7 linked regions of the Macaca fascicularis genome follow. The protein of the gene in region 1 interacts with the protein of each later gene in a pairwise test. Links are inferred from orthologs where the notes say so. Each region holds a gene or a part of one and is shown in the gene's direction. Other genes may lie near its edges.

Region 1 (3,378 bases):
AGGGGAGGGGCTGTGGCTGGGAGACCCGGCCAAGGGGGCACTCCACACTTTAGGAAGTAGAGGTGACCCTGCCCCACCAAAACCTCCCACAGGGGGAGCTTCTCAGCACCCACCCAGCCCCGTGGGGCAGTGAGCGCTCCCCGCACGGGCTCTTCAAGCCGAGGCCAGGGCCTCAGGATGACTGAAAAAGGATTTTCTTTGTGTTGGAGACAGACTGGGTGAACTCCAAGGAACCTTACTCTGTGGCGGTTCTAGAACCAAGTCTTGTGCCCGTCATGGCCTTGGAGGTGATGGGAAATGGGTGGGGAGGGAGGCTCTGGTGGAACCGAGACCTGGACCCCCGGCGTCCCTGCCCCCAGACTGCAGTCCCAGCCAGCGGCTCCCCAACGGGGTCCTGCCTGCTTGCTTGATCTGTTTTCCAGCAAAACTCAAGGACATAGTAGGGCACGAAACAGCTTCCCATCTGGTATATGGTGGGGGAGCCACGGGGCGCGGCGGGGGTGCTGTGCTCATCAGTGTGGTGTGTCTTGCAGTTTCTGGGTGGCTTGCTGGCCACCATCTTCCTGGACATCGTGCACATCAGCATCTTCTACCCACGGGCCAGCCTCACGGACACAGGCCGCTTTGGCGCGGGCATGGCCATCCTCAGCTTGCTGCTCAAGCCGCTCTCGTGCTGCTTCGTCTACCACATGTACCGGGAGCGCGGGGGTGAGCTCCTGGTCCACACTGGTGAGGCCACTACCTCCAGCCAGCTCCCCACTCTTGTCTCTCCCTTGCCTGGCCCCCAGCCTCTCCCTCAGTAAGCCCGCCTTGCCCCATGGGGCCAGGGCTCAAGGTGCAGGGAGAGCGTGGCATGGGCGCTCTGTACCAGGCTGGACAGGTCCAAGCTCCTAGTGTCTGCTGCAGGAGCCCAGGGGTCCTCTGGCTGTCCTGGTCTGCCGCGACCTTCTCCTGCTGTGAAGCTGAGGCTGGGCCCTTCTCTCAGCCCAGAGCACAGGCACAGCTTGGGGTATCATTTAGTTCCCAGGGGCAGCCCTGGGCTGTCTCCATCCTGAGGGCCACAGGCACCTACAGGTCTCCTTTCTGTTCCCACGGGGGCCCATCACTGGAACCCCATTTCCTGCCATGTGGGGTCTTCCCTCTCTTGAGGCAGAGACTGTGCTAGGTGGCCAAGGGAGAGCCCGCACCAGTGTAGGCTGTGGGAGCCTCAACGAGGACAGCCCTGAACAGGGAGTACTTTCCCTGCCCACTGGCCCCTCCCCACTCGCCCAGCCTTACACCTGCCCTCTCCCACGCCCTCTCTGAACTCCTGAACCCCTTCTCCTGGTGGCCGAGCCATTTGCCTGCTCTCTGACACCTCTCTCTCTCCCATTTTCTCTTTGAGAGGAGTGGAGGGAGGTGGTGGGGTGTGGCCTTCTGCCTTTCACTCCTGAGAAGAGATGCCCTAGGTGGCCTATGACTGCCACCAGCTGGTCGAGGGTAGGAATGGCCTGGGGCTGCCCACAGTGGCTGACCTCAGCACTGCCTGGGCCTGCCTCCGGTGAGGGGCGCCAGAATATTTCTCCCATTAGACAGATGAGGAAACTGAGGCCCATATCCCTTAGGACTTGTTCAGGATCTCAGGATGAATGTACAGAGTAGGGGATGGGAGTGAGGCATTGGGGTACTCGGAGCCCTACAGCCCTGCCTTGGACCCAGCCCCAGTCTCTGAGGCCATCTGGATATGGTAATGTGGTGTCCTTGTACCTGGGAGGGGAGCTGGAGAGGACTGCATGGGCCCGGGGCTGGCATCCCTCTGCCCAGGTTCCTGAGCACTCACTGCCTGGGGAAGCCCATGGCACAGGGGCTAGGAGCCTGGCTTTGGATCGGCTGCCTAGGCGTGGATCCCAGCATCATCAGCTTCGAGCTATGTGATCTTGGGCGAGTCAGTTCATCTCTTTGACCCACAGTTTCCCCATCTGTAAAGTGGGGACAATAAAAATACCCGCTGCATAGGGATACGGCAGGATTGAATGAATAATACATGCTAAAGGTTGAGTGCCTGGGGCTGCTGCCTCTGTCTCTGTGCATGATGTCAGGATGCCCAGCCCAAGGGTGGCGGGGGTGGGTCTTGGGTTGGACTTAGCCAAACATTCCGAGTTCTCACCCTTCATTTTTCTTTCCCGCCATGTCCCCTGCCACCCAGGTTTCCTTGGACCTTCTCAGGACCGTGGTGCCTACCAGACGATTGACTCAGCAGAGGCACCCGCAGATCCCTTTGCAGTCCCAGAGGGCAGGGGTCAAGATGCCCGAGGGTACTGAAGCCAGCCACACTGTGCCCGGCCCCGCCCCGGGCCTTCCTTGTGCCTGGGAGGTCGTTCTAGGGATGCTCCTGGCCTCCATCTCTTGGACCTAAGATGGACTGTGTCCCCAGCTCAGGGATTGCCTGAACCAAGTGCCCTGAGAGGCCAGGAGCCCCCATGGGCCACCCAGTGCCTTGCACACTCCTGTCCCAAACTCCCTGAGGCCTCCCCTCCCTTCAGGGCACCCACTGGTTCCCAGGCTGGAACCATGGTCTCTCTTCACCTCCTACCGCACCACAGAGGCCCCCAGCTGAGTCCCGCCTGAGTGTGGCAGGCTCAGGCCTTTAAGGACCACTGATGCCCCCTGAGGCCTCCCCTGAGTTTGTCAGGCTTCAGTGGAAGCCCTGAGAGCTTCAGGTCCTGCTCAGCTCCAGGAGCCGTCTGGCATGGGAGTGAGGCCCCGTGCTTCTCACTGCCTGGTCACGTGGTGGCTAGGGATGCAGGGCTGGAGGTCAGAGGCGTCAGCAACACTGTGACCCATCACAGCCTCCAGCCTCCCTTTTCGGAGCCACAGCATTAAAGTTTGGGGAATTCTATAGATGGGCTGTGTTTTGAGCCACTTTCAGTCTCCTGGCTGGGCTGGGGCCTGGCCTTGTTCCTGGGAAGATTTCTCCTGCCAATTCCCAGGTGGAGCCTGCACTAGGCTGCCCCAATCTGTCATGGCGGGAGGAAACGGACATGCGTGTTGGCTGAGCTGGGCTTGTGCCTGACTCTGGCCTAGCAGAGGCCTAGAGAGAGCAACTGGTGGGTGTGGCGTGTGGGCATCCGTTTCTCTGAACCAGATGACGCAGGCACTGTTTTGAATCCTGCTCCGCCACTTACTAGCTGCATGCCTTCAGTGTCTTCTAGAAAGGGTTGGTGCCCGCTCCAGGTGTAAGGTGCCTGGCGTGAGGAGGGCTCCCTCAGTGATGGTGAAGTTGTTAGCAGTGGACTTGTTCCTCGGGCCAGTGACAATGCTAGGTTAGGAGGCAGGGGCGACCTCTTCCTGGTGGCCCCTGTGTCTGGTCACCACTGACTTGGGCTGACACATCCAGAA
Region 2 (3,941 bases), on another chromosome or scaffold:
CAAGCCAGTGCCTACACTACTGTAGCTTTGCTGACTTCTGAGTGCTCCTCACAATCCAGCCACCCTGTAGGGAGGCTTGTCCATGGTGGAGACTGACACCAAAAGAAGGGAGAAACTTGCTCGAGGTAAAATCTTGAGGTCATAGTGAGATAAGATTGTCAGATAGAATACAGGATATGCAGCTAAATTTCAATGTTAGATCAACCCATGAATCCTTTTTTTAGTGTAAATATGTCCCAAAGGTTAGTGTACAAGAGAGAATACTTACACTACAAATGTAGTATAAGTACAGATGTGTTGTTTATCTGAAATTTAAATGTACTTCGTATCTGTATTTTCATTTGCTCAATCTGGCAACCTTGGCTGGGCTTCCCAGGCTCCTGAATCCCACTAAGCTGAGCACACTCAGTAGTTTCTCTGCTCCCAAGGTGGCCCTCCAGAAAGCTCAAATTTCATCGCAGCTGCTCCACTAGATCTGGGAAGGGCTTCTTTGGGGCCCCCAGGAATGCAGGCAGGGCCTATATCAGCTCTGCTTCCCAAGAGCTCGGCCCCAGCGCTGGACAGGTGAGGTGGGGGCAGGGGACAGGCAGCCTCAGACCATGCTGCCCTATCTCAGCTAGTTCTGACCCCTTCCTTTGCACTCCCTCTCCTTCCTTCCTTCCTTCCTTCCTTCCTTCCTTCCTTCCTTCCTTCCTTCCTTCCTTCCTTCCTTCCTCTTTTCCTCCTTCCTTCTTTCCTTCCTTCCTTCCTCCCTTCCTCTTTTCCTTCCTTCCTTCCTTCCTTCCTTCCTTCCTTCCTTCCTTCCTTCCTTCCTTCCTCCCTTCCTCTTTTCCTCCTTCCTTCCTCCTCTTTATCCCACCTGACCCAAGGGCTCTGGGGGAAGAAGAGGCTATTTCTAAAAGGAACGTTTTATAAACCTGTCCTGATTCCTTTCACAAATAGCCTCCTATTCCCCCAGGGGCTCTGGGGTTGTTTCCTAGAATGAAGGGTTCACCACAGGTCGTGTAGCAATCAGTGTTTTCCAGAGAAACATAACTGATAGGATGTATATATGTATGTATGTATATATGTATATATCTGCATATGCACAAGTATATATACATTTATTTTAATAAATTGACTTATGCAATTGTGGGGCTGACAAGTCTGAAATGTGCAGGGCAGCCTGGCAGGCTGGCAACTCAAAGAAGAGTTGACACTGCAGTCCTGGGGTAGAATTACCTCTACTTTGGGAAACCTCAGTCTTTGCTCTTCAGGCCTCTCAGTTGATTGTGTGAGACCAACCCACATCATCGAGGATGTGTCTCTACTTTACTTCAAGTCCACTGGTTGTAGATGCCAACCACAGCTACAAAATGCCTCCACAGCAACACCTAGACTAGTGTTTGAAGGAGTCACTGGGGACTAGAACCTGGCCAGGTGACACATAAACCTGACCATCACAGTGGTCTAATCAGTAGGGAAACTGAGGGAGAATTGGGACTTAGAAGGTGCAAGGCCTGAGGCCCCTGGGAGTTCTAGTGGCTGCAGTCAGGTCCCACCTCTCTTACCCTTCTCTCCCTTTGTTCTCATGGCTCCTGCCTAGTCTGACCTACTTCAGAAAAAGGCTACCTCCCATGTCTGGGGACTCTGGATGGGGGAGGTAGGATATGCTCTCCAGAGAATCTCTTCTGAAGGTGTGGTATGGCCTGGATTGCTAGGACCTAACTCTGCTGTAGCCACTGCCTGGCTCTTGGACCCTGTGCCAATCCCTGTTTCTTCATAGAAATGATGGAGGGTAGACCCTACCCTTCCCCCCATGGGCTAAATATGGAGATTCATGAGCCAGAGCAGTTCTCACAGTCAAAGGCATGGAATTGTATCTCTTCTCCTAAGTTGCTTACAGAGTAGCAAGGAGAAGGCCACGGACCTAGCCAACAAGATACAATAGAAACAGAAAGTGCTGAGTCCAAGGCCTCAGCCTAGAGAGGGAGTCTTGCTCCACCCCCAGGTCTGACTATATCTTCCTTGAGCTCCTGTTCCAGGAAGAGGTGATTTTCTGAGTGTGACTCCTCTGTTCCTGGCACCCTGTACATCCTTAGCCATAGCTTACAAGTGAACAGCTGGTTGTGATGGCAGGAGGCCCTCCCAACACCAAGGCAGAGATGGAAATGTCCCTGACAGAAGAATTGAATCATGGACGCCAAGGGCAAAACCAAGAGCACCTGGTGATAGCGGGTGAGGATCCCCTAAAATACCCCTAGGCTACAGCCAACTGTGTAGATACATGTCTGTACCTGTGCATGTGTGTGTTGGGAAAGGTGCATGTGTGCATGGAAGTGTTTGCACATCTGTGTGTTGGGCGGGCTTTGAGGATTTGTGGGTTGATGGTAAGGGATCTAGGAGAAAAGGGATAGATGATGTGAGCATTTTGCCCTGGGAGGGAGGAGGATGGGAACAACATGTGTGGTCCCTCTGTCTTCCCCTTGTCCAAGCCACCACAGTGTCTGTTGCAAAATACTCAGAGGGCTCAAATTATGAGACCAGAGATCAATTCTCTCTCCCAACCCTCGAATTCATTTTCCTGCCATTTGGAGGAAAATCCAGACTCCATGATCTATAAGATTGTATCAGCCTCCTCAAAACATTTCATACTATGATATAGACAGAAAATACCATTTCTATAGCACACAAAGGGATCCAGATCACATTGCATTTATGTTTGTTCTTACAATGCTCCAAGCCTGCTTCTTCCCCAAAGACCTTGCATTTGCTGTTTCCTCTGTCTGGAATGCTCTTTCCCTCAATTTCCCAGGGCTGGGTCCTTTATTTTTTTCAGGTCCCTGCCTCAATTGTTGTCTCCTACTTTTCTAGAAGGAGCCCTTTCCTTCCACTATGTTACCCTGTTTTGATCATTTATGGAGCCTGCATCTCTCTGTCTGCATTTGCAAGGATAGACCTTCTGTTTTACACCTGTCATTCACTCTTATACACAAAACAGATGGTCAGTTCCTTGATAGCTGGAATCTTGTTCTTGGTCATTGCTCTCTAGATTACTGGAGAGTAACCTAGTCTCGAGCTGAGCCCTCAGGATTCTTGTTTAACTTTTGAACAGATGAACAAACTGAGACCTGGGATCAGCTGGTGGACAGTGGTTAATGGGTGCTGAGTGATTCCCAAGAAAGCTGGGGACTCTGTCTTCTTTTTGGTGTGTTTTGTGCCCAAGAAGCCCTGGTACAACTTCTATGGGTGCTCCTGGGGTCTCTGTTCTTCTCTCTAGAAATGATGGAGCATGGATCTCGGTCCCTGGGTGCCTCCCAGAAGAGGCAGAAGTTGGAACAAAAAGCTGCTGGCTCTGCTTCAGCGAAACGAGTTTGGAATATGACTGCCACCCGATCCAAGAAAATGGTACTGCATGGGGTCCTCAGCACATGTTGGCCAGGTTGGGGTTGGGAGTACTGGTTGTAGGGGCTGTAGCCTGACCAGGTCAGGCAGGGCTAGACATTGACTTGTGAGGAGGAGGAAGCTCCTGTATTCCAAGCTGGCAAATGAGGACAGAAAGGTCAGGGTCATCCTTTCCTATGCTTGGGATGCAACCTTGGGAGTTCAGAATGCCTGAAACAAATATTGCATGGGGAGTACATAAATATTTCACTCTGTAAATCCATTGTGTGAAATAACGCTTCCTGTATTTAAAATTGTGTGTGTGGTGCGTGTGTGTGTATACACACAATAACTCAGGTGAGGCTCCTACGCTTTCTGGCTGTTAAGAAATCCAGTCAAGTCGTCTGGCATGGTGGCTCATGCCTGTAATCTGAGCACTCTGGCAGGAAGAGGTGGACGGATCACTTGAGGCCAGGAGTTGGAGAACAGTCTGGCCAGCATGGTGAAACCTTGTCTCTACTAAAAATACAAAAATTAGCTGGGCATGGTGGCACATGCCTGTAATCACAGCTACTCAG
Region 3 (3,500 bases), on another chromosome or scaffold:
AGATGTCTACTATCTGTCAAGTCCTCTACCTTTTACAACATCCCTACACAGAAGGCACCATCTTCATTTTACAGTTGAGGAAAATAGAACATGGAAAGGATTAAGTAACTTGCCCAGTGTCATATAGCTAGTAAATAGTAGGCCTGGGCTTCCTAGGGAAATATGAACCCAGAGAACCATGAACTTTCACTCAGACTATGTGGGAAAGTTTCACTGATGGATGCATATTTTGAGGCATTTTATTATAATTTGAAACGAGATCTTTAAATTAGCAAGGTCTGGTGTTCAATTGCATAAATAAGAACTGGTTTGCAATAAGAATCAGTTCAAAGTTGAGTTACAGGTAAGGATCATGCCTTCAGAGGAAAACAGAATTATTTTTGACATTATTTATAATTTGTTAGTGGGGTGGTTCATTATAATAAATGCAGTTCAGCTCAGTTTTCCCAGTAAGGTCATCAGATCTGAGTGGCTGCAAGTAAATTGCTGTCCAAGGGTGACATTCCATAAAGAGAGATGTGTATTTGAGAATAGGTAGCACCAGTTCAGTGGTGGGAATAGATATTGATGCAGTCTGGCCTGAGCCAGGTATTTTCACATCAATGAAAACCTCACAACAACACACCAGCAAGCAGGCACATTAATGTGCGTTTTTAAGCTTGAATACAGAGAGGCTGGTCTATTTGGCCAGGGTAAAAAAGATAGTCAGTGCTAGAGTTATGATTTCAATTTAGATATTCTGGCTCCAGGCTCAGTGTTGCTGTTTACTAAAGGGCTGTGGAGGTGTCCTCCTAAACCCTTGCTGCTCAAAGTGTGAGGTGAGGCTAGTAGCATCAACATCCCTTGCACACGTCCCAGAAATGGCAGAATCTCAAGCTCCACTCCAGACCTACTGAGTCAGAATCCTCAGATGATTTAGGTCTACATTAAAGTTTGAGAAGCTCAGCCCTAAACCTTTTCTCTCACGTAGATTGAAAATATACTGAAGCATCACCTTCCTGGGACTCCCATCAAAATTCTTGTCTGTGGAAAACTCTTGCCTGTGGAGAACAGGCTCAGTCTCAACCATCTGTATTTAGGGACACAAGGAAAAGTCTCCTATGGACAATTGCCTGTTGACTTAATTTTAGATTTAGCATCTCAGTTGGTTTCAATGATCCTGGGCAATTGTGCTTTTTGAGAGGCAGTGTATATGAAAACACTTTGCAAAATATAAAAGCTTTAGTTATCCATTCCAAAAACATTCACGAAGGCGCGCCATATGCTAGGCACTGTGCCGTCAAAGAATTCACAGTTTAATGCAGCGACAGACCAGTAAATAGACCTGTCTGATATAGAGGGAATACACTGGCAGTTAGAAAGGAGGGATTCTAAAGGAGCACAAAGGAGCACCAACTGGCCAAAATGTAATTGGGTCTCATCATTTCCGTTTCTAATTGTTTCCTCTGCCTGCAACAGGAACAGGACAGGACCAATTTGCAGGTGCCATCCGGAGTCTCAGAGCCCATCTCAAAGTGTGGTGACCTAGATGTCATCTTTGAATATAGAGCCTCCAGCCAGAAGCTCACAGTGACCATTGTGAGGGCACAGGGCCTCCCAGATAAGGACCGAAGTGGTGTCAACTCCTGGCAAGTTCATGTAGTGCTGCTGCCTGGTAAGAAACAGAGGGGCAGGACGAACATACAGAGAGGGCCCAACCCCGTCTTCAAGGAGAAGGTCACCTTCGCCAAGCTGGAGCCCAGAGACGTGGCTGCCTGTGCTGTCCGCTTCCGCCTGTACGCTGCCCGGAAGATGACCCGAGAGAGAATGATGGGAGAGAAACTATTCTATCTCAGCCACCTGCACCCAGAAGGGGAAATGAAAGTGACTCTGGTTCTGGAGCCAAGAAGTAATATAAGTGTGAGTATGTTCAATGGTGCTGGTAATGACGTGGTGTGTTTGAAGACCTGGGATTGTTAGCCCTTGATTTAATACATTCAGTCTGTGAATTCAAAGACTTGAATTTAATTTTCCATTTGGCTCTCCTCACCCTTGTAAGCCATGATTTGCACTTCATGGTACAATGGGTCTTTCATGCCTGTCTTCCTGATAACCTGATGGATAAATGCCCTGTCCATTTTAGGACAAGATAGTAGCAGTGTGGTAGAGGGCATGGAGAAAAACAGGGAAGGTGGCTTGGCCTTCTGGTTTGTGGATAACTGATCCTACTCCTCCTACCCCCAATCTGCATCATGATGAATCTCAGAGATGGGACTTTCTGGACAAGGTTCTTCACTGGTATGCTGGGGCAGACTGAGATAGCAGCCCAGAACTTCAGCTGCCTCCAAAACCTTTCATTTGTATTAGTACAGTCTTCCCTCATACCCCATTTCCCTGCTTGCCCCAGAGTTTCAAGGAAGGGTGTCATAATTTACATGTCTACAGGATGGGCAGCTCACTACTGCTGTGGGTTATATGTCATGTGGTATGCCCATCTCCTTTTACAAAACCATGTTAACAGATCAGGGAGCTCTCTAGGCTTTGGGGTCAATCAGTCATTCATTCAGAGATGTTTACTGTCAATTATGGTACAGGCAAAGTGGATGCAGGAAAGAACTAAGCAGGCGATGCCTCTGCACTTGGAGAGCTTGCAGTCTAGTGGTGGCCAAGTAGGCAAGGAGAGAGAGTGATAGGCTGCTCTTGTTTAGAGGATCAGAGAAAGTTTCTCCGAGGTGGTGATGAAACACCAGAACTCACAGCATCGAGAGAGAGAGGCTGGTGACGTGAGGAGGATGAGAGTTCCAGACAGAGAGAACAGCATAAGCAAGCAGTCAGGATGTGGGGTGGCCGGGGGAGGGAGGAAACTTGTCATATCTGAAGAAGAACAAAGGAGACAGAAAGGCTGGACTGTAGTGGTGGCAGGTTCATCTACTTAAATGTCCAATGATGTCTCAAAATTAACATCTTCAGGCTTGAAATCCTGATTTTTGCCTCCCTAAATCTATTCCACCTGCAGTCTTCCCCATGTTACTTAAAGGCAGTTTCATTCTTCCAATTGCTGGGTTCAAAAATCTCAGAAATCATCTGTGACTTTTCTGTTTTCCACCTGAAATCCTATGGGCTCTATCTTCAAGTACAACCAGAACCTGGCTCTCTGCTGGATTACTGAAATAGCTGCTCAGTGGTGGTCTTTCCACTTCTGCTTTTGCCTCTACAGACTCTTCTGGACGTGGGAGCCAGAATGAGCCTTTTAAAGTATAAGCCAGATGATGTCTCATCTCTGCTCAGATCTCCCTTTTTTCTTAATATCTGCGTAAAGCACATCTGAAGTGATGGAGAACAGAATGCACAGGAGATCAGGAGGGATCCTGCATGATAGAGCTGGGGAATGGGGATGATCACACCCATATTTCTGCTTGCTAGGCCCTATGCTGTGTGCTGGGGGCACAGAGTTGAATGGGGAAAATGAGCTAGTGTAAAAGAACTTTGCAGGTGAAAATCTTTCATTTTGTTGAGCATAG
Region 4 (3,500 bases), on another chromosome or scaffold:
AATCTGTATTCATCTTTACACGCATTTTTTATTAACACTTCTATTTTTAAATATCTTACGCATTTATTTGCATGTGGTTTTACATTGTAGTATATTCATGCAAAGCAACCTTTATTGGAAAAATCACAAATTAAACATTACAGAATTCAAAATAATGCAGTTCTGCTGCACTATTCTGAAATGGGAGGCAGAGAAACCTAAAACTAAAGAGCTGTGAATTCCTACGAATTAGAGGGCAACCTGAAATAAAAATAGCTTTAAAAAGTTAGCTTCAGTGTTGGTAATCATTTTCATAATTTATGCATATGTTAAAACATCACATTGTATACCTTAAAGATACACCATTTCTATTAGTCATGGGACCTCAAGCTGGAAAAAAGTTGCTACAATTACTTGTAGCAAGAGAAAATATAATAAGAATTCAATTCACAACAAATTTTCAGGAGCACATTTTTATTAAATATAAAGCTCTATCTCATTTTAACCTCTTTATTCATTGTTCTCTACCCAGTTTCCTTGGTCTACACAATTTCACCTTTGGATTTTTATTGTTGGGCCATTTTTTTTTTTTTTAGGTAAAATTTATATAACAAAACCCTTTAAAAATGTACAGTTTAGGCCGGGCGCAGTGGCTCATGCCTGTAATCCCAGGACTTTGGGAGGCCAAGGTGGGTGGATCACGAGGTCAGAAGTTTGAGACCGCCTGACCAAGATGGGGAAACCCCATCTCTACTAAAAATACAAAAATTAGCCGGGTGTTGTGGCACGCACCTGTAATCCCAGTTACTCAGGAGGCTGAGGCAGGAGAATCGCTTGAACCCGGGAGGTGGAGGTTGTCGTGAACTGAGATCACACCAATGCACTCTAGCCTGGGCGAGACAGCAAGACTTCGTCTCAAAAAAAGAAAAAACAGTACAGTTTAACAGCAATTATTACATTCACTGGGTTTGTGCAACTGTCACGTTTATCTATTTCAAAACGTTTTCACTGGCCTAGTGTGGTGGCTCACATCTGTAGTCCCAGCACTTTGGGAGGCCAAGGTGGGAGGATCGCTTGAGCCCAGGAGTTCAAGACCAGCCTGGGCAACATGGTGAAACCCCATCTCTACAAAACATACAAAAATTAGCCAGGCATGGTAGCTCTTGCCTATGGTTCCAGCTACTCAGGAGGCTGAGGTGGAAGGTATTCTTTTTTTGCAATTTAGTTTCAATTGTACATTTATGTATATGTGTACTGGGTTGTAATCCACTTGGATTTCATGGTAACAATGAAACTTACTAAGTTTCTAACTTGTAGGTTTGTTGTGAATATTAGACAGTTGGTGTAAAAAAATAAATGCAGTGCCAGACAGTAGGTGCACAGTAAATTCAGGCCATTCTTGTTGTTAATGACATACAATGACTCTTTGCTGAATGAATGGAATGCAGAGTTGTCTGTGGAAATCAAGAAACTATCTGATGAGGACACAGTGATAGTGAATTTTTAAAATGCTAAAAACTGGCCGGAATGGTGGCTCACGCCTATAATCCCAGCACTTTGGGAGACCAAGGTGGGTGGATCACCCGAGGTCAGGAATTTGAGACCAGCCTGACCAACATGGTGAAACCCGTCTCTACTAAAAATACAAAAATTAGGGTGGGCACAGTGGCTCACACCTCTAATCATGTCACTCTGGGAGGCCGAGGCAGGTGGATCACCTGAGGTCAGGAGTTCAAGACCAGCCTCGCCAACATGGCGAAACCCCATCTCTACTGAAAATACAAAATTAGCTGGGCATGTGGTAGGCGCCTGTAATTCCAGCTACTCAGGAGGCTGAGGCAGGAGAATCTCTTGAACCCAGGAGGCAGAGGTTGCAGTGAGCCCAGATCACGCCACTTCACTCCAGCCTGGGCAAAAGAGCAAGACTCCATCTCAAAAAAATATATAACACACACACACACACACACACACACACACACACAGACATTAGCTGGGTATTGTGGCGGGCACCTGTAATCCCAGCTTCTTGGGAGGCTGAGGCCGGCAAATCACTTGAACCCAGGAGGTGGAGGTTGCAGTGAGCTGAGATCACACTGTTGCACTCCAGCACTTCAGGCTGGGCAACAGAGCATTAAAGAGTACTGTATGTATTCTTTTAATGTATGTTTATACCTTTAATGGACTTGTTACAAAATATAAGACAAAAAATTGGGTACAGGTAGAGAAATTGCTCGTTCTTATTAAATATGTTGTTTCATTGTGAAATGCAGAGAGAGAATAGCAAATAATTCTTAATATGCCACTATTCTTTAAGTGTTACCGGTAAATATGAATCATTATGAAAAAATGTTATTCTGTGTTTTAAATCTAACTACAGCTCAGAATTAGCTTTTTTATTCCAGTCAGTTATTTGAATGGGCAGAGCAGAGTAATTCTGGTGTAAGTTTTTCCATTTATCTCCTGGTTTCATTTCAATAATTGAAAAGAATAGATATATAAATAACGAATTTTTGCATGTGTTATTTGTTTAGTTTTTTAAATTCAATTTAGAAGTGTATTAATTCTCAAAAGAACGATATCAATGGCTGTTCAATTTTTTAGGGCTTTTTTCCAGACTCCAAGCTCCCATTCCAACATTAAGAGCTTCTTCCACATCACAGCCCTTGGATCAAGTGGCAGGTTCTTTGTGGAACCTGGGTCGACTCAATCATGTAGCCATAGCAGTGCCAGATTTGGAAAAGGCTGCAGCATTTTATAAGAATATTCTCGGGGCCCAGGTAAGTGAAGCGGTCCCTCTTCCTGAACATGGAGTATCTGTTGTTTTTGTCAACCTGGGAAATACCAAGATGGAACTGCTTCATCCATTGGGACGTGACAGTCCAATTGCAGGTTTTCTGCAGAAAAACAAGGCTGGAGGAATGCATCACATCTGCATCGAGGTATTTTAATTATTTTAATGCCTGGTATTTTAAATCTGTCTTTTAAAATATGTCTTTTACTTTTTAAGACTAATTATGGTCACTGTCATTAGAAACTTTTGTAAGGTTCTTTATGGAGAATGATAATATTCATCCTCCTCAAAGATGGATCCTTACATACCTTTCTTTTCCCTTTAGAAAATTCTAACATATAATATTAATGTATTTTTTTGAAGTCTGGATTCAGTGACCACTGTAAGTGCCACCAAAGTTAGCCACAATATAGAATCTGCTTTAGAACTGATCATGTGTGACCTCCCATGTAACAGGAATACAGCTGTTTTCACTATCACAAGGCACTTAGGAGAAGCAAATGAAAAGACTTTATAAAGTAAAGCTTTCAATGTACATGCTAAGTATTCTTTATAACTCTTTTCTCTCCTTAAAATTCTAATAACTTCATTATTACAAAGTCAATACTTTTCAATTACTGACTGATTTTTAAGATCTTCTGAATTGCATCTGCCAACAATTTTTAAAGGAATGTGAAGAAATGTTAGACAAGAAAAGTCTCATTAGAGAACATTTCTATAGATGTTCATG
Region 5 (4,215 bases), on another chromosome or scaffold:
TTACTGATTGAGGGCATGAACACTTCTCCATACACACCTGCCTAGGAACGATCTCCAATTATCTGTCCTATCTCCAAGATCTTCTCTCTCCCATCCAACCTTGCCTATCCACCATTCTATTTTCAGAGTAGTCTTCGCTAATTTGGGGAAGTCACTTATTCAAACAAGACAGCGGTTGACAAATACTTAGCAATGAAATCTCCTGCTAGTTACTACTTTTTAATTAGGATTTTCAACCCTAAGAAAGATATACATGGGAGGAATAAGATAGGGGGAATAAGGGAGCTAATTTTGAGGGGTTTCCCTGCCTCTTAGGTGGGGTTTATCATATTGTGCTGAAACTGCTTATTCGTCTAGTTCTCCAGACCCTGGGCCATTTGTCTTATGTACCGCCATCTCTGAGCGCGGAGAAGGTGCTCCATAAAACTGTTGGTTTGTGTAAATGACCGAAAACTACATGCAGAGTGAGGGTGGATTTCCCTTTGACTTCGGCTTAAGGAAGAATCGTTCCCATGATCATCCCACAATTCATCTAAAGGGAGATAGGCAAGGAGCAACTGTTCAAAGGCAAAGCGCTGGCAGCCGAGGCACAGCTCCGGTTCGGCAAATGTCTCCCGAGTGCCAAAAGTCTCCCCAAACGCCTAACTGGTCAGGGCGCAGAAAAGAAGCTCGGGGAGCGCGGTCTTCGCCCCAGCTCCACTTCGGAGCTTCACGATTCCTTCTCTGGCCTGTCTTCCTGATAAATACCCGCTGAGGTCACCCAAACGCTATTCTCTCTGCGTTATTTGCTTCTTTCCAATGTTTGGCGCCCAGCTCCCGTCGTCGGAGCGCCCCGCCCGGGACCACTGATCGCCTGGGGCCGCAGCCTTGCTTCCCAACGCGAAGGCCGCGGTGCTCCAGGGTCGCAAACTGCCCGGCCCGAAGCCCCGCCCCGCAGCCAAACGCCCGGCCCGCGACCCCGCGCCCAGCTCCCGCCGCCAGGTTCCGTCTGGGCCTCTACTCCTGGGAATAACCGGTACCGGTGACCCCGCCCCTACCTGCGCGCCGCATCTCCGGGAACAACAGTCTCCCTCCCGAGCGTCACAGCCAGACATGGCCTAGACCAGGGACCCACGCGGCCTCCAATCTCCGCACCACTTTACTCGCGGCGCTCAGCCTAGGTTGAGGCAGCAAGGCCGCAAATGCAATCAGGCGGCGCTGAGGGCAGCCCGGGGGCGGGGCGAACAGGGTGGGCGGGGTCTGGTAAGGCCCCTCCGGCTGGGCTATCCAGCAGCGCACCTGACTGCCCGGGAGGCGTGGCCAACGTGGTTGGAGGCGGGACTAGGAGGGCTTCAAGTCTGAGAGACCTAAAGGCACCTCGATCGTCTGGGGGTGTGGCCAACCATGTGGGAGGCGGGGCCTTGATGCTGGACATCAGGCTGTGCTGCGGGCAGCCGGTGAGAAGGCCGTGAAGATGGCGGCCTCCTGGAGGCTAGGCTGTGATCCGCGGCTACTGCGTTATCTTGTGGGCTTCCCTGGCTGCCGAAGCATAGGACTGGTGAAGGGGGCTCTTGGGTGGTCTGTAAGCCGCGGAGCTAATTGGAGATGGTTTCACAGCACGCAGTGGCTTCGGGGTGAGTGGCCGGGGCTCGCTCAGCTTCTCTGTGTAGCTGAGTGATGGGCCTGGGACAGGGGCAGTCTTGATTGAGGACCTGCGTCTGGGTGTTGAGGTGCGCGGCCTCCCTATTCCTTTCCCTCTTTCTCTGGGTGGGGTCCGCCGACTCGGCCTAATGCATGCTGTGGAGGGCTTTCTTGGCAGCTGGGAGAATTAGACCCTACCCTAGGCCTCCTGGTTTGTATGACTTTGTGACTTTGCCTTGGAATTTGGGTTATTTGTGAGGCGCGGAGAGGGTTCCTAAACTCTCCTCCCTCAGCCCCCTTTCCAGTCAAGGCTCAGGTTTCTTTAGGGTTGTCAAACGTCTCGGACGAGAAAAAGCTGCCCAAGGTTGCCGAGATTGAAAAGCCACTGTTGGGAGTTCTTACTCATTCTCTAGGCCTCTCTGTTGGGAGGTGTTTTCATTGAGGCCAGTCGAGTTTTACCCCACGCCATGACTCGTGGAAGACTTAAATTTGTAAATTCCTACGGCATCACAGACAAAGGTCCAGGAGAATGTTTCAAGCAAATATTCGCTTGAAAGAGCGAACATTTAGGAGATAAATCATACCAAAAAGTTTATTATAGAAAATTGTCGTTTAGTAATGATATTGATACGGTTAACACAATTCTTGCAGTATTTAACAGTATGCAAAATGGCAGGCTGGGTATTATTTTTCCTTATTTGGGGAGAGGGTTGGAGGGAAGCAGGGATGGAGAATAGGACTGACGTTTTTTAATCTGACGTATTGCCTGCCAGTCATCGTTCCTGGCACTCTACAGAATGAATTTTAATTTAAATAGGTCTAATAGACATTGCCTTCGTATTCTGAGCTACCTGAGGCCCAGGAAAAAAAAAAATCACACAAAGCCATATAGTAAGATGAGTGTATTGGGGTTCCTAAAGATTCCGTAATGGGAACAATTTATTTCAGTTTTTTTGGTGTAATGTTTCATAACATATTCCTTGGAGCAGAGGTGCTTTAACAGTGTGTGCAGAATTCCCTCTCTTCCCTCCTTCAAGTTTGTTGAAATTAAATTTTTTTACAGCTCCTAGAGATTTGGTCTGATCTAGTGTGGGGCTCAGGAATCTGCATTTTACAAATGTTGGATGCGTTCTGATGTTTTATTTTGACATTTAATGGAATGTGCTTTGAGACTCACTGCCTTAGAAAATCATGGAATATTAAAAGTTTAGTATTAGATATAATCTGGGAAGAGTGTTCTTAATCTTGTCTATCAAGCAGATCCTTTTGAGAATCTTTGAAAATGCTGCAGACTCTCTATACAGAGAAGGTACCATAAATGGTTACACACAAAAATGTGCACGTGGTGGCTCATGACTGTAATCCCAGCACTTTGGGAGGCGAGACTGGAAGATTGCTTGAGCCCAGGAGTTGGTGACCAGCCCGGGCAACAAAGTGAGACCCCTGCCTCTACTTGAAAAAAAAAATTAGCCAGGCGTGCTGGCATCCCAGCTACTCCAGGGGCTGAGGCAAGAGGATCCCTTGAACCCGGGAGTTAGATGTTTCAGTGAGCTATGATCCTACCATTGCACTTCAGCCTGGGTGACAGAGTGAGACCCTGTCTCAGAAAAAAAAAAAAAAAAAGTATACATAGGCCCAGTTTAATGCCTTTAGGAACTCACTTAGGCAAGCAATCCTTACCTGCATCCTCATGATGTTTTTTACCTATTGCCCATCCCCTAGACATATACCATGAACAACTTGTCTAACCCAGTTTGAATACCATCTGTCAGGAAGAAGGCACTGCATCTCACAGAAAGCCAAATTAGTTTTCTAGTGCTGCTGCAACAAATTACCACCAATTAGTGGCTTAAAACAACACAAATTCACGTCTCATAGTTCTGGAGGTCTGAAGTCCAAAATGGATCTTCTAGGCTAAAATCAAGCTATTGGTAGGAGCTGCATTCTTTTCTGGAGGCTCGAGACCCCATTCCCTTACGTTTTCCAGATTCTAGAGATTTCTAAGATTCTTTGATTCATGGGCTTCGAAGTCAGCAATGGCTGGTTCAGTCTTTATCACATTACATCACTTTTAATACTCCCCCCCTGCCTTCTGCTACTTACAAGGACCCTTGTGATTACATTGGGCTCATCTGGATGATCCAGAATATTTTCCCCATCTCAAGGTTGAGTAGAAACCTAATTCCATCTTTAACCTTAATTCCCTCTTGCCATGTAACAGCATATTCATAGCTTCTGGGTATTAGGACGTGAACCTTTTGAGGCATGACATTCTGCATGTGAAGCTGTGGAAAGTATTTGGAAATACTAAGTATTTAGAAACTTTGGACTTTTTTTCTAATACCGAGCCAAAATTTATCCGCTTCTGACTTTCACCTACATACAGATTTTTGTTTTGCCATGCCGAAAACACGTGGCAATCCTTGGACTATTTGTTTTACAAAGTGCGAATTTACGATGGTATTTTTTCTCTGAGCTTGGTAGAAACTGTAGTTTCATAAAACTAAGCAACTGTTTGGATTACTGTAAACTGTGTACATTAAGTACGTTTATTGAACTGTTTCCTCTTTCACACAAATATCCAGGATTTAAAAA
Region 6 (3,500 bases), on another chromosome or scaffold:
AGAGGGGAACAGGTCTTCAGACTCCAGGCCTTGGGTTCTTCCACTTTTCCTCCTCCCCTGGGGGCTTCCTGCGTGGGAGTGTTGGGGGTGTTGGTGACATCCCTGACTGCAGTAACCCAGCCTTGATATTGACGTCTGCAAAATGGGGACGAGGTCGGATGAGCCTGTGGTTTGCAAGCTATGCTCCTTGGAGCCCCCTTTAGGGGCTGCCCTGCCCTGCAGGGAGGTGGCCAGGCCCCCTCACTCACCTGCCCTCCTTCTCATTCTTCTACAAATAGTAAGCACCTGCTGTGTGCATGGTGCTAGGAAAACAATAGAGAATAAAGAGACCCAGGGCCTGCCATCCCATATGGTCCAGGAGACAGACCAGTAGCAGAACCTCCCACAGCACAGGTGGCGGTACCCCTGGCTCTGAGGGGGATAGCAAAATTTGAGAGCCCACCTGGTATGTGCTGGGGAGTCCAAAAAGCCGTGCATAGGGGGCCTCCAGTTCATTTATGCAGAGCAGGTCCATGCCTCCCTGCTTTACCAGTTGGCAGTGTTGGGCTTGGGATGCCCCTCATCCTGTCCTGGGGTGCCCACCTCTGCCCCTCCCCTTCCCCTCCCCCACAGCCGCAGAGACCTGGACATTAACCGGCCTGGAACAGTGCTCAATGCCAAGACGCTCCGGTGAGTGCCTCCTGGCCCTCTGGCCTGCCCCAGCCTTTGCCCCCGTGACCCAGCCAGACAGCCCTTTTCCTCTGTATCTGCAGCTGCCCCGTGATGCTGGTGGTCGGGGATAATGCACCTGCTGAGGACGGGGTGGTGAGTGAGGGGCTGTGGGCTCACTGGGGGTGTGAGGTAGGGGTGAGGGGCTCATGGCCTCTGTCCAGCAGGGGCAATTCTTGACCCAGCCCAGGGGAGCCTCCAGGGCTGGCAGTGGATGGTGGGCTTCTCGTCCACTTCCCCAGTCTTGCCAAGCCTCACATCTGGCATAGCCCCCATCCTTCTGGCGGGGGAGGCCTGGAAATGGGGAGGGCTGGGGCCAGGGCCGGGCCATCAGAAGGTCCCCTCTTCCCTCCCCAGCAGCACAGCCCCAACTTGGTCCCTACCCACCTCAGGCCCAGGGCCTACGATCTCTCTTTTTTCTGAAATGTGATTGAGTCATTATAAATCATTAATGCATACAGCAGCACAGTCTCCCTTTCCCCATCACCTGCACCTGTTACGTTTGGGGACCACGTGTCACCCCTCCTGCTGGAACTCTGGGAGCAGGTGGCCTGGGGCTGTGAGGCCCCATCAGCACAGAGCTGCTGGGAAGCTGCAGGGTCCGGAAGTGCCCGAGCAGCCCCGTGCGCCGTGGAAATACCAGGCTTTCCCATGCCCACCGGGAGGTCCTGGAAGAGTGCGGTGGTGGGCTGTGCCAGCCCTCTGCACCCGGTCTCTTTCAGACCCTCGGCACCCCTCACCTCACTGCTGAGGGCCCCAGGACTTCTTCCCAGGCCAGTCCCACCACGGCAGCCCAGCCTTTGCCTGACTCCCACTCCTAGCAGTTGTGAGTGGGCTCCAAGGGTCCCAGGACCTTCAGGGGCGCTGCTAAACTGGTCTCCAAGAACGTGGGGAGCCCTGGGAGAAGCAGCCTGTCACAGGTGCTGGGTCTCCCTCTGCCTCCCTGCACCCCCTCTCCTCCCCAGCTTGGGGCATCAAACCTGCCTTAGCCACAGGGGTGGGGAGGGGCCGGGGCTGTTGCTGAAGCTGGCTCCTTGTCCCCAGGTGGAGTGCAACTCCAAACTGGACCCGACCATCACGACCTTCCTGAAGGTGAGGCTTTCTTCCCCAGCCCTAGGCCAGCTTCCCTAGCATGGGCCCAACCTCAGGGAGGGGCTTGCCTGGGGTCCCAGCCAGGTGGGAGCTTGTCCTGGAGTGAGGGCCCTGCTCAAGTCACCCCACTCTCTCCCTTGCAGATGGCAGACTCCGGAGGGCTGCCCCAGGTCACACAGGTGAGACTTTTGGCCCTCCTGCCCTTCCATCTATGGGGTGGGGGAAGCCTCTACCCTCCCTGCTAATCCTAGGCAGCCAATGAAAGCATGTGCTTGTCCTGCCCTCCGCAGCCAGGGAAGCTGACTGAAGCCTTCAAATACTTCCTGCAAGGCATGGGCTACAGTGAGTACATTTCCACCCCACCACACCTAGAGACCAGTGGGCAGTCAGTGCTGGGGTGGGGGGTCCTGTTTGCAGGGCTGGCACGTGGTGTCAGGGGGTACTGGGGAGCCCACAGGCATAGTTTTGTGTGACCTGGGCCCCGGATGCTGGGCCCCACAGATGCCACCTGAGTTGCAAGTTGCACATCCCAGGCTGTGCCCAGCTCCCCTTTGCCCTTAGGGAGGACTTGGCACACTGTTCTGATGGCAGTGATGGGCATACTGGGGGAAGGGACCCTTCTCTCTGTGCTGAGGGTCCAGGTCCAAGGGCCACGTCCTGCCAGGGAAGCCTGTCTGGGGGTGAGGCACACTCCCCTCATCTGCCCCAGGGCTTGGGGTCAGAGTTGGGCCTACGGCACCTGAGAAGGCCTTTTGAAACAACTGGTGGCTGCACCCAGGGCGTCATAGGAGTGGGCTTGGAGCCTGGGGCCAGGGAAGGCAATTGGGGCGGCCTGGGCATTCAGAGAGCTGAAAGCAGCTGAACCTGAGTTGGCAGATCTGAAAATCTGGGTCTGGGGTAGAACCAGGTACACATACACAGACACACACACCCCTTGGGTGTCTCCTCAACTTCCCCTTCCCTCTAAGACATACCTGTTTCCAGCTCCCCACTACCAGGTGGCAAACTTCCTCTTCTCAGTTTGTTTTTTATTGCCCTCCAGACTTTAGCCTCTGGAGCTGGTATCTCCAGGGCAAACAGGGGGCGGCCTGTGGGAAGGCTGGGGAGGACACCCAGGAATACAGTGCTCTCTGGAGCAGGGCAGAGCCCTAGGGCCCGCAGGGGGGCTCTGCAGGAGCGCAGAGGCTGGGATCAGGGCACAGCAAGCATTTGTGAGGTGAATGGAGGAAGCTTGTCAGGCGCTGAGATGCGTTCTCAGGGTCCTGGGGAGAAACTCCACCAGGCAGCCCCGAGCTGGGAGAGGCACAGAGGGGCAGGCCTCCCCAGTTCTGTACGCAGGAGACTGAGGCCCAGCAGAATGGTGAGGGGATAAGCACCCCACCGGCTGTCAGGGCTTCCTTGGGTCAGAGATCCTTCTGGGGACCACTGCTGGGTGGGCTTCCAGAGCCTCTGACCCTGCCCCCAGCCTCTCTGTGCCTGTCCTTTGTCCCATCTCTCCGGCTCATCTCAATGCTCTGGCCTCAGTGGACCACGCTGTTCACTGTGTTGTGTCTCCCCCACCCCGCCCCCTGTCTGGCTCTGTCTTCTCTCTTAGTTGCGTACTTGAAGGACCGAAGGCTGAGTGGAGGAGCAGGTAGCCCCACAGCCCTTCCCCTGATGCATGGACACCTAGCCTCCCCCTCCCCCGCTCCTGCTGCAGC
Region 7 (2,878 bases), on another chromosome or scaffold:
CCTGTCTCTACTAAAAACACAAAGATCAGTCATGCATGTTTAGGTACCAGCTTAGGGGATGTTTGTACTTCGCTCATTCGGTACCAGGGCCCAGCTAGGTTCCTGGTGCAGAGTTGGTGCTCTGTGAATATGGGTTGAATGAATGAACGAATAAGGTCTCTGTGCTGAGAATCTCATGAGGCCCTGGGGTGAGCCGCTGGTCAGATGTGGGATTCTAAGTGATGATCCATGTGGCTCTGTCTGTAGTTAGAAAGCAGTTCATGTTCCTGGGGTTTACAGGCACATGTCCCAGTCTCTTGGGAGACTGAGGCAGGAGAATCACTTGAATCTGGGAGGCGGAGGTTGCGGTGAGCAGAGATTGTACCACTGCATTCCAGCCTGGGCAAGACAGTGAGACCCTGCCTCAAAAAAAAAACCAATAAAACAAAATGAAATCCTAAAGTTCAAAGGTTCTAAGATCCCTAGAAATGAGCTCCTCTGTGGGTGGCAAGCAGTTTGTTTCTAGCCCAGGAGAACGGTCTGTTCTTCCTCCTTCTCCTGACCGTCCTCTTCCTCCTCTCTCTGGCTGTCAGATATGCCCACTGATCCGCATCTTCCTCCACTCCCTGGATGTGCAATTCATTCAGCAGATCATCGGTAAGTCAATGGGGAAGTGGGGACCTTCTGAGGCAGGCCTGGAGTTCTGTGCCCACCGCATAAGCAGTTCTGGTCAGGAGACCCTGGAGAAGCAGAAGAACCCACTGTCCTAAGCAAATTAGGAGCTGTGGCTTCCCTCCACAGGCACTTGGGGACTCTCTTTAGCTTTTGGGTCTACAGGCATGGCTGAGGTTGCTGGGGAGAAATGGAGTAAGTAAAGGTGTCAAGACCCTGGAGGTGACCCTTCTATGAAAATAGCCACAAGTCAGCCAGGAACGGTGGCTCACACCTGTAATCCCAGCACTTTGGGAGGCTGAGGTGGGCAGATCACTTGAGTTCAGGAGTTTGAGACCAGCCTGGGTGACACGGTGAAATCCCATCTCTACAAAAAAAATACAAAAATTAGCCAGGTGTGTGGCATGCACCTGTAGTCCCAGCTACTCAGGAGGCTGAGGTGGGAGGATTGCTTGAGCCTGGGAGGCGAACATTGCAGTGAGCCGACATCATGCCACTGCACTCCAGTCTGGGCGACAGAGTGAGATCCTGATCTCAAAAAAAAAATTTTTTTTAAAAAAAAGAAGAAGAAAGGAAATAGCTGCAAGTCCAGTCCCTTAGGCAGTCACTTCGTGCTCTGTACTCACTATCTCACTGGATCCTTGCAACAACCCTGTGGGGTGGGTACAGTCATTGTATCCACTCTACAAATGAACAAACTGAAGCTCAGAGAGGTGTAGTGACATCCCTGGGGTCCCACAGCTGTCAGGTGACCTTCAGGAGAGCGGCATCTTTTGGAGTCTGGTCTCTATTCAATTTTCCAGAGGCAGAGACTAAAACCTGCTATTGATTTTGTTTCAGATAATCTTCAGCATGAAACCCAGCTGCAAACCCACATCTGAAGAGGATGAATGACGAGGACCACTGTGATGCCTGCTGGTGAGGAGCCAGGCTCTAAGCCCCAATGCACAGGGCCTATGGTGAAGAAAAGCCAAGCATGGCTTCCCTTCTTTTTGTGTTAGAAGACTGTGCCTTCATCTCAGTCATAGACTGAGCACTGGCCCCTGTCCCAGGCTAGGGCCTGATTCTGGTCACACTCTGAATACTGAGCCTTAATCACTGAACTATGATTCTGGCCCTAGACTGAGCCTGGATCCTAGTCACAGACCGAGCTTTGATGCCAGTTATTGACTGAGCCTTAGTCTTGGTCACAGACTGAGCCCCAACCTTGGTCTCAAATGGATCCATGATTCTGATCACATATTGGGCCCTGAACCTGGCTCCAGTGGTGGCCTGCAATCAATCTTTCCACATCTGCCATTGTTCTGAAGGAGGGTGAGGGGAATGTAGATGAGTCAGTGCTAGGTGCCAATGAAAGACCCCAAACCACAGGTCCCAGTTTCTTCTTCCCAGGACTTAAACCACATGGGGTATTGTGGGAAAGAGCTGGGACACTGGAGCCAGGTCAACTTGGGTCCCATCAAGTGCCCAGTGGATGACAGCTGGGTATAAGGGCGGCCTAGCTGCAAATGTCCTAACCCCCTGTGGTCTCATTCCAGATTGGTTCCCAGTGGCTTGCGCCACCCCCTTATAGCATCTCCTTCTGGGAAGCTGCTGCCACCACCTAACCAGCGTGAAAGCCTAAGTCCCACCAGAAGGACCTTCCCAGATGCCCCTCCTGCTCACAGTCAGAACAGCAGTTTCTACACATACTCTCCTGTCCCTGGCAATAAAGGCTCATTTCTGCACCCTTCTGTGTGGCTCATTGTGTTCCCTCCATTTGGGATTTGTTGGTGGGAATTGGGGAGGGAGGTTGGGGACTGCAACTAGGGTGGGAGAGACCTGGATCCAGAGCTAGAAGGCTCAGTGAGAATATCCAGCCCCATCTCCTGGTTCTATAAAGGGGGCCACGGAGACACAGAGAGGCAACAAACCAGCCCAAGTCTCACAGCCAGTCTGTGGCGATGGCAGACCTCTGATCTATCCATTCACGCATTCAACAGGTATGTAGTGAGCACCTACTCTGTGCCAGACAGGCAGTGGGAACTGGAAAGTCACATTCTGGGAGCAGTCCCACCCAGCGCTTTCCTCCATTCCTCTCCAGGGGCCCTGAGGATTCTCGGAGAATCAGGGGACACCCCGCCTGACTGGAGCCAGGAGTATAAGGCAGAGTGATGCAGGCTCAGAGGCCTGTGGCCCCATCTCCACCTGCCCTGTTGGCCCCGCTGCCCTCTAGGGGCCCCACTGG

The links.
Region 2: the proteins of AGTRAP (region 1) and FATE1 interact in binary tests that used the Homo sapiens proteins (3 or more experiments, as listed by UniProt). The two-hybrid records come from large-scale screens. The link is inferred for Macaca fascicularis from reciprocal best matches to the Homo sapiens genes AGTRAP and FATE1.
Region 3: the proteins of AGTRAP (region 1) and SYT16 interact in binary tests that used the Homo sapiens proteins (3 or more experiments, as listed by UniProt). The link is inferred for Macaca fascicularis from reciprocal best matches to the Homo sapiens genes AGTRAP and SYT16.
Region 4: the proteins of AGTRAP (region 1) and MCEE interact in binary tests that used the Homo sapiens proteins (3 or more experiments, as listed by UniProt). The two-hybrid records come from large-scale screens. The link is inferred for Macaca fascicularis from reciprocal best matches to the Homo sapiens genes AGTRAP and MCEE.
Region 5: the proteins of AGTRAP (region 1) and PDHX interact in binary tests that used the Homo sapiens proteins (3 or more experiments, as listed by UniProt). The two-hybrid records come from large-scale screens. The link is inferred for Macaca fascicularis from reciprocal best matches to the Homo sapiens genes AGTRAP and PDHX.
Region 6: the proteins of AGTRAP (region 1) and NDRG4 interact in binary tests that used the Homo sapiens proteins (3 or more experiments, as listed by UniProt). The two-hybrid records come from large-scale screens. The link is inferred for Macaca fascicularis from reciprocal best matches to the Homo sapiens genes AGTRAP and NDRG4.
Region 7: the proteins of AGTRAP (region 1) and BPIFA2 interact in binary tests that used the Homo sapiens proteins (3 or more experiments, as listed by UniProt). The two-hybrid records come from large-scale screens. The link is inferred for Macaca fascicularis from reciprocal best matches to the Homo sapiens genes AGTRAP and BPIFA2.

The regions. Positions count from the first base shown.
Region 1 is NC_088375.1:223,059,655-223,063,032, reverse strand, and holds the end of AGTRAP (type-1 angiotensin II receptor-associated protein), read left to right. Parts: intron 1-533; coding exon 534-729; intron 730-2,185; coding exon 2,186-2,301; 3' UTR 2,302-2,878; downstream 2,879-3,378. UniProt on the Homo sapiens protein: Appears to be a negative regulator of type-1 angiotensin II receptor-mediated signaling by regulating receptor internalization as well as mechanism of receptor desensitization such as phosphorylation.
Region 2 is NC_088395.1:157,779,011-157,782,951, forward strand, and holds the start of FATE1 (fetal and adult testis-expressed transcript protein), read left to right. Parts: upstream 1-1,141; 5' UTR 1,142-2,111; coding exon 2,112-2,217; intron 2,218-3,259; coding exon 3,260-3,387; intron 3,388-3,941. UniProt on the Homo sapiens protein: Involved in the regulation of endoplasmic reticulum (ER)-mitochondria coupling. Negatively regulates the ER-mitochondria distance and Ca(2+) transfer from ER to mitochondria possibly implicating it in the regulation of apoptosis.
Region 3 is NC_088381.1:129,916,454-129,919,953, forward strand, and holds part of SYT16 (synaptotagmin-16), read left to right. Parts: intron 1-1,458; coding exon 1,459-1,899; intron 1,900-3,500. UniProt on the Homo sapiens protein: May be involved in the trafficking and exocytosis of secretory vesicles in non-neuronal tissues. Is Ca(2+)-independent.
Region 4 is NC_088387.1:50,824,864-50,828,363, forward strand, and holds part of MCEE (methylmalonyl-CoA epimerase, mitochondrial), read left to right. Parts: intron 1-2,580; coding exon 2,581-2,918; intron 2,919-3,500. UniProt on the Homo sapiens protein: Methylmalonyl-CoA epimerase involved in propionyl-CoA metabolism.
Region 5 is NC_088388.1:30,655,220-30,659,434, reverse strand, and holds the start of PDHX (pyruvate dehydrogenase protein X component, mitochondrial), read left to right. Parts: upstream 1-1,415; 5' UTR 1,416-1,453; coding exon 1,454-1,613; intron 1,614-4,215. Other genes in the region: APIP (methylthioribulose-1-phosphate dehydratase), read right to left, coding at 1,038-1,050.
Region 6 is NC_088394.1:54,611,532-54,615,031, forward strand, and holds part of NDRG4 (protein NDRG4), read left to right. Parts: intron 1-612; coding exon 613-669; intron 670-752; coding exon 753-804; intron 805-1,752; coding exon 1,753-1,800; intron 1,801-1,943; coding exon 1,944-1,979; intron 1,980-2,090; coding exon 2,091-2,142; intron 2,143-3,394; coding exon 3,395-3,433; intron 3,434-3,500. UniProt on the Homo sapiens protein: Contributes to the maintenance of intracerebral BDNF levels within the normal range, which is necessary for the preservation of spatial learning and the resistance to neuronal cell death caused by ischemic stress.
Region 7 is NC_088384.1:89,228,868-89,231,745, forward strand, and holds the end of BPIFA2 (BPI fold-containing family A member 2), read left to right. Parts: intron 1-572; coding exon 573-636; intron 637-1,491; coding exon 1,492-1,532; 3' UTR 1,533-1,569; intron 1,570-2,189; 3' UTR 2,190-2,378; downstream 2,379-2,878. UniProt on the Homo sapiens protein: Has strong antibacterial activity against P.aeruginosa.